Linked DNA regions of Danio rerio. The protein of the gene in region 1 purifies or fractionates together with the protein of each later gene. This does not show direct contact. Links are inferred from orthologs where the notes say so. Each region holds a gene or a part of one and is shown in the gene's direction. Other genes may lie near its edges.

What was found.
Region 2: the proteins of phf14 (region 1) and hmg20a purify together in Homo sapiens (affinity purification with mass spectrometry; 3 studies listed by BioGRID and IntAct, counting the BioPlex papers as one, with this or other methods). This does not show direct contact. The link is inferred for Danio rerio from reciprocal best matches to the Homo sapiens genes PHF14 and HMG20A.

What each region holds. Positions count from the first base shown.
Region 1 is NC_133194.1:40,760,026-40,768,207, forward strand, and holds the start of phf14 (PHD finger protein 14), read left to right. Parts: upstream 1-3,826; 5' UTR 3,827-3,891; coding exon 3,892-3,892; intron 3,893-5,390; exon of another isoform or gene 5,391-5,448; intron 5,449-5,533; exon of another isoform or gene 5,534-5,580; coding exon of another isoform or gene 5,581-5,581; intron 5,582-6,852; coding exon 6,853-6,963; intron 6,964-8,182. UniProt on the Homo sapiens protein: Histone-binding protein. Binds preferentially to unmodified histone H3 but can also bind to a lesser extent to histone H3 trimethylated at 'Lys-9' (H3K9me3) as well as to histone H3 monomethylated at 'Lys-27' (H3K27ac) and trimethylated at 'Lys-27' (H3K27me3).
Region 2 is NC_133200.1:8,049,295-8,056,796, forward strand, and holds the end of hmg20a (high mobility group protein 20A), read left to right. Parts: intron 1-851; coding exon 852-984; intron 985-1,426; coding exon 1,427-1,464; intron 1,465-3,076; coding exon 3,077-3,152; intron 3,153-4,362; coding exon 4,363-4,578; intron 4,579-5,570; coding exon 5,571-5,703; coding exon of another isoform or gene 5,704-5,707; intron 5,708-6,688; coding exon 6,689-6,692; 3' UTR 6,693-7,038; downstream 7,039-7,502. UniProt on the Homo sapiens protein: Plays a role in neuronal differentiation as chromatin-associated protein. Acts as inhibitor of HMG20B. Overcomes the repressive effects of the neuronal silencer REST and induces the activation of neuronal-specific genes.

The sequences.
Region 1 (8,182 bases):
GGTTTCATGCATTGGCAATATCACATGTCATCTGCAATGGAAAATGCTGGCAATAGAATGGTGACAGTGATGATGACGATGATGCTTATGATGATATCCGAAAAGTGTTTTGATGCCAAGGGATAAAAAACGGTGGCTTTCCAGCACAATACAGTGCCATTTGTCATCAGGCAAGGACAGTCGTAATCATCCCTTGCGCGTGCCTTTCCCCATCAGTCTTCCCCTCGCTGTGTATCAGGATCAATCTAGGCTCATTTATTTTAATCGTCTCCTGTTTGCTAAACTGGCAAAGTCAACAGAGGACGACAGAAACAAGTCTCGCTACCAGAACAACCCAAAAACAGTCATTTTTCTTGTTATTCTGCAAATTTTTAATTGTTTTGAAGCTTGCTTAAACTTAACGGGTGTCATTTAATTGATTTTACTCATTTTATTATATTTAGGGTGTGTTTACCTCAGAACAGAAGCCTTTAAAAGTTACTTTAAGCTGTATAGAACTGTCCTGAAAAATATCTAGTAAAATATTATTTACTGTCATCATGGCAAAGACAAAATAAATCAGTTATTAGAAATGAGTTATTAAAAATATTTGTTTAGAAATGTGTTGAAAAAATCTTCTTTCCGTTAAACAGAAACTGGGGAAAAACAAACAGGGGCATAATAGTTTAGGAAGGCTTTTCTAAGTTTTTAAACTATTATATTTGATCAAAGTCACACAAGTGGCAATTTCACATCTGTCACATCCATAAGGGAGAGATGTCACATCCATAACAACACTTTTTCCTCATAAATGTGAAAATATTAAATGAAATAAAACCAATCATTTTTGTTTATAGTGAGCAACTCTTCTCCTTTTGATTATCATTGTTTCTTTTGGGATGTGCAGTTTAATTTACAGAATTTCTATTGTACTAAGTATGTTGTATTCTGTAAACCCGCAGACTTTTTTTTGTTACATCCAATAATATTTTCCACATTTAAAGTACAAAACATGTTTACAGATTGATATTTTTTATGGTCCCTTAACTCTGTATAATGTATGTATAATGTCTATATAATGTTTATATCATGTCTAAATGTTAATATAAACTTTTTTATTTTTTAAGCAAATTTATGTTTTGAGTTTTTACTCCAAATGTCACATCAATATGGCTGGAATTGCTCATATATATATATATATATATATATATATATATATATATATGGCGTCACGGTGGTGCAGTGGGTAGCACAATCGCTTCACAGCAAGATGGTTGCTTGTTTGAGCCCCAGCTGGGTCAGCTGGCATTTCTCTGCGGAGTTTGCATGTCCAACCCTGTGTTCCTGTAGGCTTCCTCCAGGTGCTCAGGTTTCACCAACAGTCCAAAGACATGTGTATAGGTGAATTGAATAAGCTAAATTGGCTGTGGTGTATGTGTGTGAATGCAAGATATATATATTAACAATTGTCAATTAATTCAAATTGTTAAGCAAAGAACTAAACTCTTTGTGTAATCTGAATCAAATTCACTTTAAGTGCATGATAAATTATGCTTATTGTGTGGCAACAAATAAAGAGAGAAAATAAGAAAATGGAGATGAATAACAGAAAGAGCTTGGAATATTTACTTTAGCTTATGGTTGTGTACACAGTTATTATTTGCAGGAAACAAGGACTAAAAATTACAGAAATTCAACGTGAGAATTAAACGAAAATGTAGTTTGTTGCACACACAAAGAAAACATGACATGCAAATGTGAGCATACTGTATTATAATATTGCATTAACATTTGTTTTAGCTAAGTAACAACAAATATGAGAAAATAGCCCTTACAGAGTCTTGAATTTAACCACCAAAAAGATTCTTGCTTAACATTTCTCTGCTTTTTACTGTGATGGTGGCCTTCAGGGGCTGGTTGCATTATGAATTACTCACTGTTACATTAATACTTTTTTTTGTAGCCTACTCTTTTTGTAGACCGTAGCACAGCATATAATTATAACATTAGTGTTACTTATAATATTTTGCTATAAAGTTGTGTTTGAACACTTTTACATTTGTTAAAATCAATTAAATAAATGCTACTTTTTATCAAATTAAATTACAAACTATGGGAAAAAATATAAAGATTTTTTTATATAGTTATAGTTATTTTATAGCTATTAGTTACTGTAAAGCTAAGGCAATCTTTCTAAATTCTCCGTAGTGGATGAGTGTAAATGACAGTCTGGATAAGTTGGCGGTTCATTCGGCTGTGGCGACCCCTGATTATTCAAGGGATAAAGCCGAAAATTAATGAATTAATTAAATAACTCTAAAATGTAATGTTTATTTAAAACATTAGTGTTTTGAAACTAAAGCATTACAACTACACTGGAAATTGGAAAGAGTTAACGTGAAAAAAGTTTTGAATTTTAAATTTGCCTTGTTTTACCGTGATAATGCTTTGTGTTCACCTATTTTCAAAAACAAAACAAAAAACAAAACAAAAAAACTTATAATCTGAGAATTAACAGTATTAATGAATATACTGTAGTGAAATGGCTAAAATTTAAATGTTTTAAAACTTATAATCAATTAATTTTACTCACAGAAATTTCCAAAGGCCCAAAATGGGATGAAAATGAAACATCAACATTAAAATGTATTGTACAATTAACTAAATGTAACATTTAAAAAAATAATGGTTGGAAAAAGTGCGGCATTGTGGCACAGTGGATAGTGCTGTCTGTTGCCTCACAGCAAGAAGGTCGCTGGTTCGAGACATGCGGTACAGGTGAGTTAGGTACACTAAATTCTCTGTAGTGTATGTGTGTGAATGAGAGTGTATTTCCCAGTGCTGGGTTGCAGCTGGAAGGGAATCTGCTGCGTAAAACATATGCTGGATAAGTTGGCAGTTCATTCCGCTCTGGTGAGCCCTGATTAATAAAGGGACTAAGCCGAGAATAAATGAATGAAAGGTTGGAAAAAGATAAACGATGTTTATTAAAAGCCTTAAAGCATTTACAAATGTACCTTTTCTTTTTATTCATTTTCCTTTGGCTTAGTCTCTGATTTATCAGAGGTCACCACAGTGGAATGAACCGCCAACTATTCCAGCATATGTTTTACGCAGCGGATGCCCTTCCAGCCCCAACCTAGTACTGGGACACTCATACAGTATTGCATTTACTCACACACTTATACACTACGGCCAATTTAGTTAACGTTTATCTAATTCACCTATACCGCATGTCTTTGGACTTGAGGGGGAAACCAGAGCACCTGGGGGAAACCCACATGGCAAGAACATGTAAACTCCACACAGAAATGCCAACTGGCCCAGCCGGGACTCAAACCAGCAACCCTCTTGCTGTTAGGTGACAGTGCTACCCACTGAGCCACCGTGCCACCCTTTTCTTTTAAAGAAATATTTATGTCTTATAGACAAACAACAGACCCAAATGGTTTTATGAGAATTTAGCTTACCCAATTCACCTATAGCGCATGTATATCTTTGGACTTAGCTTACCCAATTCACCTGTACCGCATGTGTTTGGACTGTGGGGGAAACCGGAACACCCGGAGGAAACCCAAACCTACACAGGGAGATATTGCAAACTCCAGACAGAAACGCCAACTGACCTAGCCGAGGCTCGAACCAGCGACCTTCTTGCTTTAAGGCGACAGCACTACCGCCCATTTTAGAGATATTTAGGAGAATAAAAATATATACCATATCTTTTCGTCGTTAAATATATGAAACAGAACTGATGCGGCGGTTGCCATAGTTCCCAACTCCTCATTCCTGAGCTGAACGTCAGCCCTTTGCGTACACGTGATACGCAAAACCATCGACGTAATACGCAGAACATGAGCTGAGGAGGCGTTCGTTGTACCTTTGTCCAAGCTAAACAAGAAAATCACACAAAGTGAGTAAATCTCGCTGTTACAGTATACATTTTGAAAGAGAACAAATAGCACAACATAATCACCATCAGAATTTACCTGCTGTGGTTTGAAATGTGTGAAATACGCGTTAATATTTAGCACGAGGCTACTGGAACGTTTGCTTGATGCTAACTGATGTGTAGTTCATCTCTCCATCACCTAGCTTTACCGACACCGAGTATCATTAAAATAATATCAGCTGTTCTTAGTTGTTAGTGTGTATACCATGTTATCTTTGTTTGTTTTATTTCCGAGAAACGAGTTTATTTTAATCAAACACCCTGCAGTATTTTAATCAGTGAGTTGCCTACAATGACAGCATCCTGTTATTTAATGTCATAGAGCTGTGCTGCACCTTTAGCCAGTTTAATGTGTGATTGATCTGAACTACGTTTTGAAATCATCACAGTCTGATGTCGTTTGCATCTTTAAAAAAAAAGAGAAATTTATGACATTGAAGATATTTTTTACATGATAGGATAGTGTTAAAGGGATAGTTCAGCCCAAAAAGAAAATTGTCATTTACTTCTAGAGGTAAATTTGGCTTTTTATAGTTAAACATTCGTTCAATGACAGCTTGTGACATGCTCCTTATATTGTTTACCGTGGTACTTTGAATATTCGATATGGAATCACATGCAAGTCTGACTTCAAAACAACATTAGCACTATATATTTGACTGAACAATGTTGTACTTTGATAGCCATGAGCTGCTAATATGCTTTCCCTATTAAAAATTGCAATGAGAACTTTTCTGAAATTGTATTATTAAGGAGAAAGTCTGAATGGGCGAATATAAAACCTACTTTACCTTAATATTTAATTAGTTCAAGTTGGTTTTATTAAAAACCATGATTTCTAATAAAAAAGGTAAAGCTAAAGAAAACAAGGAGGCAACCATTTTAATCGCACTGACTTGTACTTGTGAAATGGAGGATGAAACAAATTCATGAACTATGTAAAGTTCCTGTCAAGCTCTGACAAAGTCTCATACATTAATAGTCTTTTCTGATATTTCATTTAACAAACGTCCCATGAATATCCCGTTGGAAGCGTGTAGATTGCTGAAGCACTTGTCAGAAAAAATCACAGGAACACACCACAAGGCTGGGGCTATAATGTTGATATTTTTGCAAAAATAAACTTCAACTACTCACTCTTTACAGCCTCATCTTTGGGTAGGGAAAATAATATATTTTTATATTCGGATATTCAGACATTCTCCTTTATAATATAACTTCAGAAAGTATTTTTTCCAAATTCTAAATAGGGAAATTATATTAGCAGCAAATGAATATCAAAGTACAACATTGTTCACAGTGAATTAGATAACAATAATGTTGTTTAGAAGTCATACTTGCATGCTAATTCCTATCGAATATTCAAAGTAACTTGGTAAACAATATAGAGATTGCTAAATGAATGAATGTGCGAAAATAAAACCAACTTTACCTTAATATTTGCTCTCCCTTTTTTCAGACTTTGAGTTTCTTCTGTTGAACACAAAAGATGATATTTTGAAGACACCTGTAAAACTGTAAACTTCCATAGCATTTGGTTTTTTACTCTGGAAATCAGTGGTTACTAGTTTTCTTTAAAACATCTTTATTTGTGTCCAACAGAGGAAAGAAACAGATAAAGATTTGGAAACATTTGAGGGAGAATAAATAGTGAGTAAATGATCATTTTTGCATGAAAGATCCATTTAACCAAACATAGTGGTGTTTATGAGGTATTTGTAGTTTTCATATGTGTCTGTGTAGTTTTATTATGGTTAAATCAATGCACATTTTGGTGGTGCAGCTTTTCAGCTTAATCTGCAGGAATTCCCACTGTTGTTGAAATCATTACAGTAATTAGTTGTAACTGTTTTACATTGTTGATGCTTTATTAATTATTTATGTGGTATGATGGTAGTTATTAATAATAATTTTAATACTTTAATTTATGTAGTTATTTTTTTGTATCTACACTACCGGTCAAAAGTCTCCAAGGCTGCATTTATTTAGTCAAAATACAGTATTAATTGTAAAATCTTATTGCGCTTTAAAATAATGTTCAAAAGTAGCTTATCATTTAATTTAATAATTGATTCCAGTGATTTTAAAGATGAATTTTCAGCTTCATTACTCCAGTCTTCATAGTCATATTATCCTTCAGGAATCACTCTAATATTAATTTGGCTATGCTCCAATTGATCGGCCGTAGATACTGTATCGGCTGATAATCACATTTTATGACTCAATTAGTACTCCCTGGTCTGGCCGATCTCTTGAACCGATCACAGATGTTTGTTTACAAGTTTACTTGCAACATGCAAAGGAACCAGAAGTAATAGTTGGAAAGCAAAATGTTGGAATGTCCATTTTACATATATAACAACTGAAAGTTCTGTGTTTTTGACAATATTGCAAGTTCACTAAACCTGGCTGAATATTTTAATGAAATTAAAAATATTAAAATATATTTTAAAAACTTGAATATTTAATAATATGCCTTTTTTAAATATAATTACTGTAATTAAAATATATATGTATTTTAAAATAAAATAAAATATGTATTAATAGGTGTGCGTTTTAACTTCTTATGCATCAAATATGCAAGATGAAATATGCTTCAAACTTTTTCTTCCTTAAGACGTTGAATTTTTCTTTCATATCGTTTTTTCCTACATTTTCTTTTTATATTTGTATAATTATTTTAGTATTCAAATGTAAATAATAAATTAGGTGCTTAGACTATTTCAGTTTTTTATTTGTTTTCATCTATTATTATTATTATTATTATTATTATTATTTCAAATTGCTAGCACTTTAAATTGGCAAATTGGCAGCAGATTTAAATGTAATGGTGTGAATTTTAGTTATGTAAATATTTTATGCTGCAATCTGTTATCTAAAAGAAATGTATATTTCAATGTGAACTGTTATTTCTTTATTAGTGGATCGGGGGTCGAAGCGGCGGCAGGTGAAGCCTTTGGCTGACTCTCTGCTGGATGCTCTGGACTATGACAGCTCAGATGACAGTGATTTTAAAGTTGGAGAATCATCAGGTAAATAATAATAATAAAACCCCTTCATAAAACATTGATTTAAGTGTTTTGTATACAGTAAAAAAGCAAAAACAAATTAGTGGATCAATTAAATATAAAAATGACTACAAGCAGTAGTGGCAAGTCTTATAAATGTAAAATGTTCAAAATTTGACTGATGGCTACATATTTATTTATACTACCGTTAGCCCTTTTAGACGTGGGTCTCTTCTTGGGTTTTCTCACCTGTCATGAAAGCAGCTGCTGAGGTGGAGATGAGACCTTCATCACCACATGCGTCACTGTTTTTTTTTCTCACCTGCGTGTAGATTCGACCTCCTGCAATGCATTACTAACACTGAAGTCACATATGCAATGGCTCCATATCACCATGACAGACTGGAGGTTAACGCAAAGCTTTCCCCATCAGGCTGCTGTCAACTATAGTGCAGAAATATCTGCGACCTGATAATGAAATTCTAACACTTTGACCCTTTTGGGTTTGAAAGTTTTGCCGCATGTTGAAATTTCTAGCGAGAAATAAAAATGCAGTGTCACACTAGTCTAATTGGACGATTTATCATTGTCATGGGCTGTAAGAGAATGTTGCAATATATTAATTACTAACTAGACTCGTGGTTCATGGTAGGTTTTAAATACATAGTAAACGCCTGGCCCTTCATATACCATGACTCTTTATTTGGGTCATATTGGACCTACATAGAGTGTATCCAGAAAGTATTCATAGCGCTTCATTCTTTCTACTTTTTTTATGTTACAGCCTTATTCCAAAATGGATTAAATGCATTTATTTACTCAAAATTCTAGACACAATACCCCATAATGACAATGTGATTTTTTTTTTTAATTGTTGCAAATTTGTTACAAATAAAAAATCAAATGACAGGTTGGCATGGGGCGATGACCGATTTTAAAGAGCCCCTATTATGCATTAAAAAGGGTCATATTTTGGTTTTGGGGGTTTCCAACAACAGTCTGATATGCATGCAATTCAAAAATTACTTTCATTGTCTTATAATATGCATTTATTTTCACCTAATTATCCCAATGAGTCCCATATGATTCGTTCAGAGATTCGTTTGTTTCGAAACCCCTCCTTAGCGCGATGCTAATTGGTCCGATTACCCAGTCTGTTGCTATTGGTCGACTGCATTCAGCGTCGAGCACGTGTCACGTTTTCAATTTGGCTTTAGACGCGATATATATGAATATAAACAGT
Region 2 (7,502 bases), on another chromosome or scaffold:
CACTTGCAGCATATCAACAGTAGGGGACGTGTCTAGTAAATATAGTGATGATATCAAAAAAGGGGTGTGGTCTTGTTGGGTTATGGACTGTTTGTTTTTGGTTCTTTCAAATAGCAGCACCTTTTGGAAAAATAGGCTTAGTCCACATTTAAGTGATCCGGTCTCTCTAATCCAGGGGTCACCAACCTTTATGAAACTGAGAACTACTTCTTGGGTACCGATTAATGTGGAGGGCTACCAGTTTGATAAACACTTCTCAAATAACAAGTTTGCTCAATTTACTTTTAATTATACGTAATGTTTTTGGTAATAATTAATGATATTCATCCATGTGAAGACACTGGTCATGTTAATGATTCTCACAAAAGTCATCAATGATTTAACAGGGTAGGAAATACCCTGTATTTAATGTATCAATGTGCAACACTTTATTTTTATATATCTCTTCAAATATTGACATTTTTAGATTGATTACTTCTATATTAGATGAAGCTTACTGGTAAGTGGCGCTATGGTGAGCTATTTTTAGAACAGGCCTGCGGGCAACACATGTGATCCAGGTAGCCCGCGGGCACTATGTTGGTGACCCCTGCTCTAAACAAATGCTTCCTCTACTCTTATTAGTTCAATCATAGCCTAGTCTATTATGATTGGCCAAAGATTTGTGAAGGAAAGACTAATAACTATTTTTAGCAGATCATGACCTATACTGTAAAAAAAAAAAAAAGGAAGAGTGTCTTGACGAAATCTGAACACAAGTGGCCTCAAAAGACACATTTGATTGAAAGCATGTAATTAACAGGTGGAAACAGCCTCAGAGACTAACATAAAACTATTTCATTCTGTCTCAGCGGTATCTGGATGAAGCGGACAAAGATAAGGAGCGCTACATGAGAGAACTGGAGCAGTATCAGAAAACCGAAGCGTATAAACACTTCAGCAGGAAAGTGCAGGAGAAACAAAAAGGAAAGAGGCACAGAGGAGGTACGAACACACAGACACATTGAAAATGAACGTGGTGAATGTAGAAAATGGGTCAGAGAAGAGTGACGACACAGCCAATCAGAACACACTTGATGGTTTACTATAAAGGTGTGTGTGGAGCAGGATTTTAGACCAATGTGATCAAACTACAAAAGCAGAAAGGATGAAATGTTGTGCAGCTTAAAGGGGCAGTTCACCTATTTTCACCCAATATTTATTCTTCAATTAATCCAAACTAACAGAGTTTCTTTCTTCTGTTGAACACAAATGATATATATTAAACAATGTTGGAAATAATATTTAATAGTAATAATAAAGCAGCCACTGACCTCCAGAGTGTTTTTATTCCTGCTATGGATGTGCATTGTGAATATATTTAGGTGAATTGGTCCTTTAAATCACGTCAAATCTAAATTTCCCTCTCTGTCGCTGTGTTTATCAGATGCTGGAAGGCAGGCGCCTGGTGAATCCCTTCATGAGGTAAAATGCCCCGCTCAGAATCTGCACACATTTGTCATTTTGTGGAGAAGCTGGGATAAACAAGAGACTGTGGGTTTCAGGCCTGGAGGTTCGAATGAAAAACTGTGGAATCTTAAACTGGGATCTTGGAAACGTCAACAATAACTTCAGGATTTCTGAAAACATGTAATTAGCTAGAGTTTTATACAATTATGGGATGATGCTGTAATCACTGTATTCTATGATAAAGTTGTAGAAAACAATAATAACCAAAAACACTGAAAGTTTTACAAATCAGGTGAATTTAATTTATTTGAAAAAGTTTATAGTAGTTTTAATGATGAAATACATTTTTTACAACTGTGTGCATTATAGCATACCTGTCATCACTGGGATGTGAAAATAAGGGATATGCCCACCATAATAAGGGATCACCACCCCCCCCCCCCCCCCACCACCACCACCACCCACCCAAAAAAAAAAATCCCCAAATTACTAAATATGTTAATTTGGAGCTGTTTCATTGTAAATAAACAGTTAAATGGTCAGTAATATATTTTACATTTATTATTAACAAAAGAAAAATAAATATATACATAAGCAGCAAATACATTAGCAAACAGTTCAGCTTATTAAAATTAATAGCTATTATAATGAAAATAGCTAAATCAAGCTATGAATCTCATTAGCCATTTCTCCACTGAATAACTTACACACAAACAGCAACGAAAAAATCTCTTATTTATTAAGATTTTTTTTTACATTAAATAAGGTGTCACTTTAAAAATACACACATCTAACGTTATAATGACAGCATTTGACTGCTTTCCTAACTTTTTATGCTCATTGAAGACGAAATTAGTTGTGTTTGAAAAAAAAAACCCACCAAGATCGACAACCTTATATGTTATTGTTATTAAATATGTGTGTATGTCTGTTTAAACACGCACCCAAAAGCCAGACTTTCTCTCCGCTTCAAATCGCGTGTACAGAATCAGTTTGGGAAACAGCATCTGTTTATCACCGTCAGCTGTCAGTCATGCACCATTATATGACTTTTTTGAGGATTGTATAGGATGGACGACGGCACCTGTAATCAAAAGGAAATGGAATCGCGCCGTTTTTAATATTTATTCATAAGTGTTTTCATTTCTATACAAAGCGAAAGCACAGAAGACTCACGTTTTAGAGCAAGGGGCGACCCCTGTTGGTTTGCCGGTATGGGTTGCGTATAGGGAGGCTCGGCTGTTTAGAGAAAGACTGAAAATGCGGGAAAATACCTTTACAGGATGATAGCGGGATAGAACAGTAAAATACGGGAGAATCCCGGGAAAAAAAAGAGGGTTAACGGGCATGCATTATGGATGTCCTGATAAGGTTTTTTGCCCTCGAGTCCAAGTCATTTGATTTTGAGTATCTACTGATACCGAAACCCGTCCCATACTTCTTTTGTACGTAAAAAAGAATAAAGAAGAGCAAAGAAACAGATACACGACGTTCCTTATTTTCTACTTAATTCACCTCATTTAAACATTAAGGTTTAGTGTTTTGAGATTCTGAGCAGGTCTGTATGTGCATTTCTGACTGTTCTGCATAAGTAACATAACGACTCAAAGGTTGTTTCTTCTCTCAGAAGGATCTGGAGATGAAGGATCGCTCTGTGTTTGACATTCCTATCTTCACTGAAGAGTTTCTGAATCACAGTAAAGGTGAGAGCAGACGCTGATCAATGTGTGAGTCTGTCTGCTGTTTAACATAGAGATCATGATTCTCCCACAATTCTGAATAGACTTAACAAAACTTAACAAAATGAAAAGCAAATTAACTTTTCGGCTGAGCCTGAAAGGTCTTAAGGCTGATTTATACTTCTGTGTCAAGGGATCAATTTGACTCACGGCGCCATGTATTTATACTTTTGTGTGCTGTTTGTGTTGCTCTGCAATAACACTTCCGAACCACTAGCTGGCAGTAGGTTATGTTTTTCTGTGTTGAGTTTCTTTGTAAGTGTTTTGTTTTTCTGAATACTGAATGAATGTACAAGTAGCTTAAACTCACTCATTCAGAGGCAGGAACTGGCCGGACGTGCAACAACTTTAATCATAAGGTAAACACAAAACAAAAGTTTTCATCTGGAGCTCCTTCACAGGACTCGACACTTAACAGTAAACAATCGCTCCATCGGGCTCGCAGCTCTCAGCACCGCCCACACTCGTCACTGCTACCAAGCGGACCAATCACAGAGCTTGCACTATGCATCATTACGACATGTAGTCACATTTTTTAAGAGGTGCGCCTCAGCGGTGGCGATGTGTCTGCGACCGTGTGAAGGCTGCACCGGAGCATACATGTGCGCTTGACGCAGAAGTATAAATCAGCCTTAACGGCCGGTAAACTTCAAGCTGATGCCAAACAACTAGTAGCGACAAAACCCAACTGGGTTGTCGCCTCATGTTAGCTCATGCCTGGAGCAAAAAGCTGCCCGTGAACACACCAAACGGACGAAAGCCAACTGATTCAAGAGCACACATTTTGTGTCTTTGCAAGAGCATGTGTCTTTCCACATCGTCCACATTTCTCGTTCAGGACGGCAAAACCAGAACTTCTGACAAGCGCAAAGCAAGCTGTAAACAAAGCGGCCTTTAGCATCATCATTATTATCACAGTAATTGTCACTCACCATCAAGCGAAACTACAGCCAGTCTCTTCGTGTTCCCTCTTCACTTGAATTGTTTACTTGCTACATCACATCATTGAGTCACACTCTGGCTCTGATTTGTTGCTGAATAACCACTTATTTTACATATTGTAAAAAGGGGCATAATCAGTCCCCTGTTCTAGTTGTTTTTTGAAGAATTTAATGAAAAAATGTGTACATGTTGTGCCTTTGACATTGACTGTGTGTGTGTTTGTTTGCTCTAGCGCGTGAGGCTGAAATGCGGCAGCTGAGAAAGACTAATATGGAGTATGAGGAGCGCAACGCGGCGCTGCAGAAGCATGTGGAGAGCATGCGCTCCGCTGTGGAGCGTCTGGAAGGAGATGTTCTTCAGGAGCGCACCCGAAACAGCCTCCTGCTGCAGCACCTGGAGACCCTGCGCTCAGCCCTCACGCACAGCTTCTCCACCGTCCCGCTCCCCGGTCAGACCCTACAATACATTTGCAATTCACATATTTAATACAGTCTACACTACCTGACGAAAGTCTATCTACAACAAATAATAACTTGACTTCTAGTTGATCATTTGGTATAAGAAGTGGCTTATATGAAAAGCAAAGGCCTCTAGATTACGCTTATTTTACCAAAATGAAAATGATCATGCCTTGATTTTTTATTTAATTAGGACAGTAAGGTCTGACTTTGCTTAGACAAAAGTCTAAGTGCTCCAGTTTCCCCCATTGTCTAAAGACATGCGGTACAGGTGAATTGGGTAGGCTAAATTGTCTGTAGCGTATGTGTGTGAATGAGTATGTATGAATGTTTCCCAGGGATGGGTTACAGCTGGAAGGGCATCCGCTGTGTTAAACATGCTGGAGAAGTTGGCGATTCATTCCGCTGTGGGGACCCCGGGTTAATAAAAGGGACTAAGCCGAAAAGAAAATGAATGAATATATTAAAAGTATTAATATAATTAGATATATTTATCATGTGTTTTTCTTAACCCCAAGCACAAAAAAAACACAAATTACCGCAATATAAAAATATATTTTAAAAAAACGTTAAAATAAACTGAACAACAACAATTAGCCGCTTTCAAAAGATTTTTATGGATTTTTTAAAAACAGTTTAAAGTTGGAGATTTTCTAATTACATTTTCCTAATTATTATTATTATCTTTATCATAATTATCTACTAATTTTGTTTTTATAATGATTAGATAAAAACATTTTCCTGCAGGATCATTTTTGATAAAAAAATATGTTTGCCTGTGGTTCCATCCTGAAAGATATATTAGTTTTATTCCCTAACCAAGATCTCTTTATGTGATTAATAAATACACTGTGAGCCCAAATCCTACAGATAACCCCATGATAATGATGTTTCTTCAGTGGATCAGCTGTTTGCATCATGTGAAAGACTTCTATAAGTAGTATATATTTTTGTCTTGACTGATCTTTGCATGTTCCTGCAGGCAGTGGAGAGACGCCGACACTGGAATCCATCGATTCCTACATGAAAAAGCTCCACAGCCTCATCCTGTCTAGTCCGCAGGACCACCAGCACCTGATCAGCACCGTCCGGGACGTGGTCAACCGTCTCGACAGGTAACCACATGCCACTGATTTACTGAGGGAGGAAATAAGTACTGGACACGTCATGTGTTTTTATGGGAACAATATTTCTAAAGGAGCTGTTGACGTGAAATAGAACCAGGTTTTGGTAAACGTGCATTGCTCATGTCGGCGCAATAGCCTTGTGGTTGGTGCGTCAACATATGGAGCAGTAGCAGGGCGTCCCTTGTTCGAATCCTGGCTCAAGAACATTTCCCTACCCTTCCCCCCTCTCTCTCTCTCTCCAACGACGCTTCCTGTCTAAATACTGTGCCATCTAATAAAGGCAAAAAGGCCAATAGTACAATATAAAAAATAAAAAAAATAAAAAACGTGCATTGCTCAGGTGTGTTTTTTTTACACGGACTTCAACAGAGTGTAAAAATCTTGATGGTTCTGTAGGTCTCGTCTATCAAATCTGATCTTTATTTCGTATTCTCTATTGGATTTAAGTCAGGTGATTGACTGGGCCATTCTATAGCTTGATTTTCTTTCTCTGAAAGCATATGAGAGTTTCATTGGCTGTGTTTTGGATCATTGTCTTGCTAAATTGTCCACCCCGGTTTCATCTTTATCTTCTTGCTAATGTAAACGTTGTTCTGAAGAAGCTAACATTCATTTACAATGAGGACGGGCAGAGGGTTGCTGAAGAACTACTGAGAGTTTTCAGCTACTGTCTGGGCTTTCCATGCCTTATACATCCCTTTCTTCATGTGTTCAATACATTTTCCATGTGTCATTTCATTTTATTACTCATAACTTAATTTGTAAAGTAGATGTGCATAGTAGTTAGATGCGTTTGTTTTGCAGATTTGAATTTCTTTGGTTGTTACCAACATCTGGTGAAATTTTCAAGTCAACAGTACCTTTAGAAATATGTTTTCTGAGAAAAATGGCGACAAGTTCAATGCTTATTTCCCCCACTGGATATCTCAATATGATCTGAACATCATAATAATCTGCTCTGATTCACCTGCAGGTAATTGAGAGGCCCCACCCCCAATGCAGTAGCCCCTCCTCCTATCCTGTGACGACCATGTTTTTTTTTTTAGGGTCAAGTGGTTGTTTTCCTATTTATATTTTTACGATGCCATTTTTATCTGCTCGTTTTTATTATTTTGCCATGCATTACTGCCACGTTATTTTAACAACAGCGCGAGTTCATCTGCATGTACACTTGTGCGTTGATTTTAGGCTCGATTTTATACTCGTTTTATGTTGCGTAAGAAAGTGCGACGTTGTGAAAGGTGGATTCATTTGTAGCTGGAATTCTCTGTATGTTGTTCTTGACATTGGAAGAATTGAATAAAGCAAACGTATGATGATGTTGACGAGCGTCTGATTCTCTTTCTCCTCAGGCTCATCCGAATGCGTTTAATTAATTAGACTTTGCTCTTCTGGGATTAAGCACTCGAGACAGCAGTGTTATAGTTCTCAGCACAGACGCTTTGCTCAACTGCACACGCTCCGGAAGGCAGGTACTGAACAGCTGTAACCCAGTTGGGCTCAAGCAGGTGTGAATTAATTAACGGTTCTACATGTCTGGGGTGAGGTACTTCAGTGTTTTTATTTAATGTAATCGTTCAAGTAGGTTGTATAAGAGGGAATCCATTAATGGCGCCATTTTTTTTAGCTTCGCTTGTTTTGGAGGCATTCATTCACAGATATTAAAGTATTGTGAGAGTATTGTGAAATATTTGTGGAAGTGGGCGGGGCTAAAAGCTTTGAGGAGCAATTTTGTACTGATATTTGCGAGCATAATGAGAAAATGATAATTAAATATATGGAGAGCG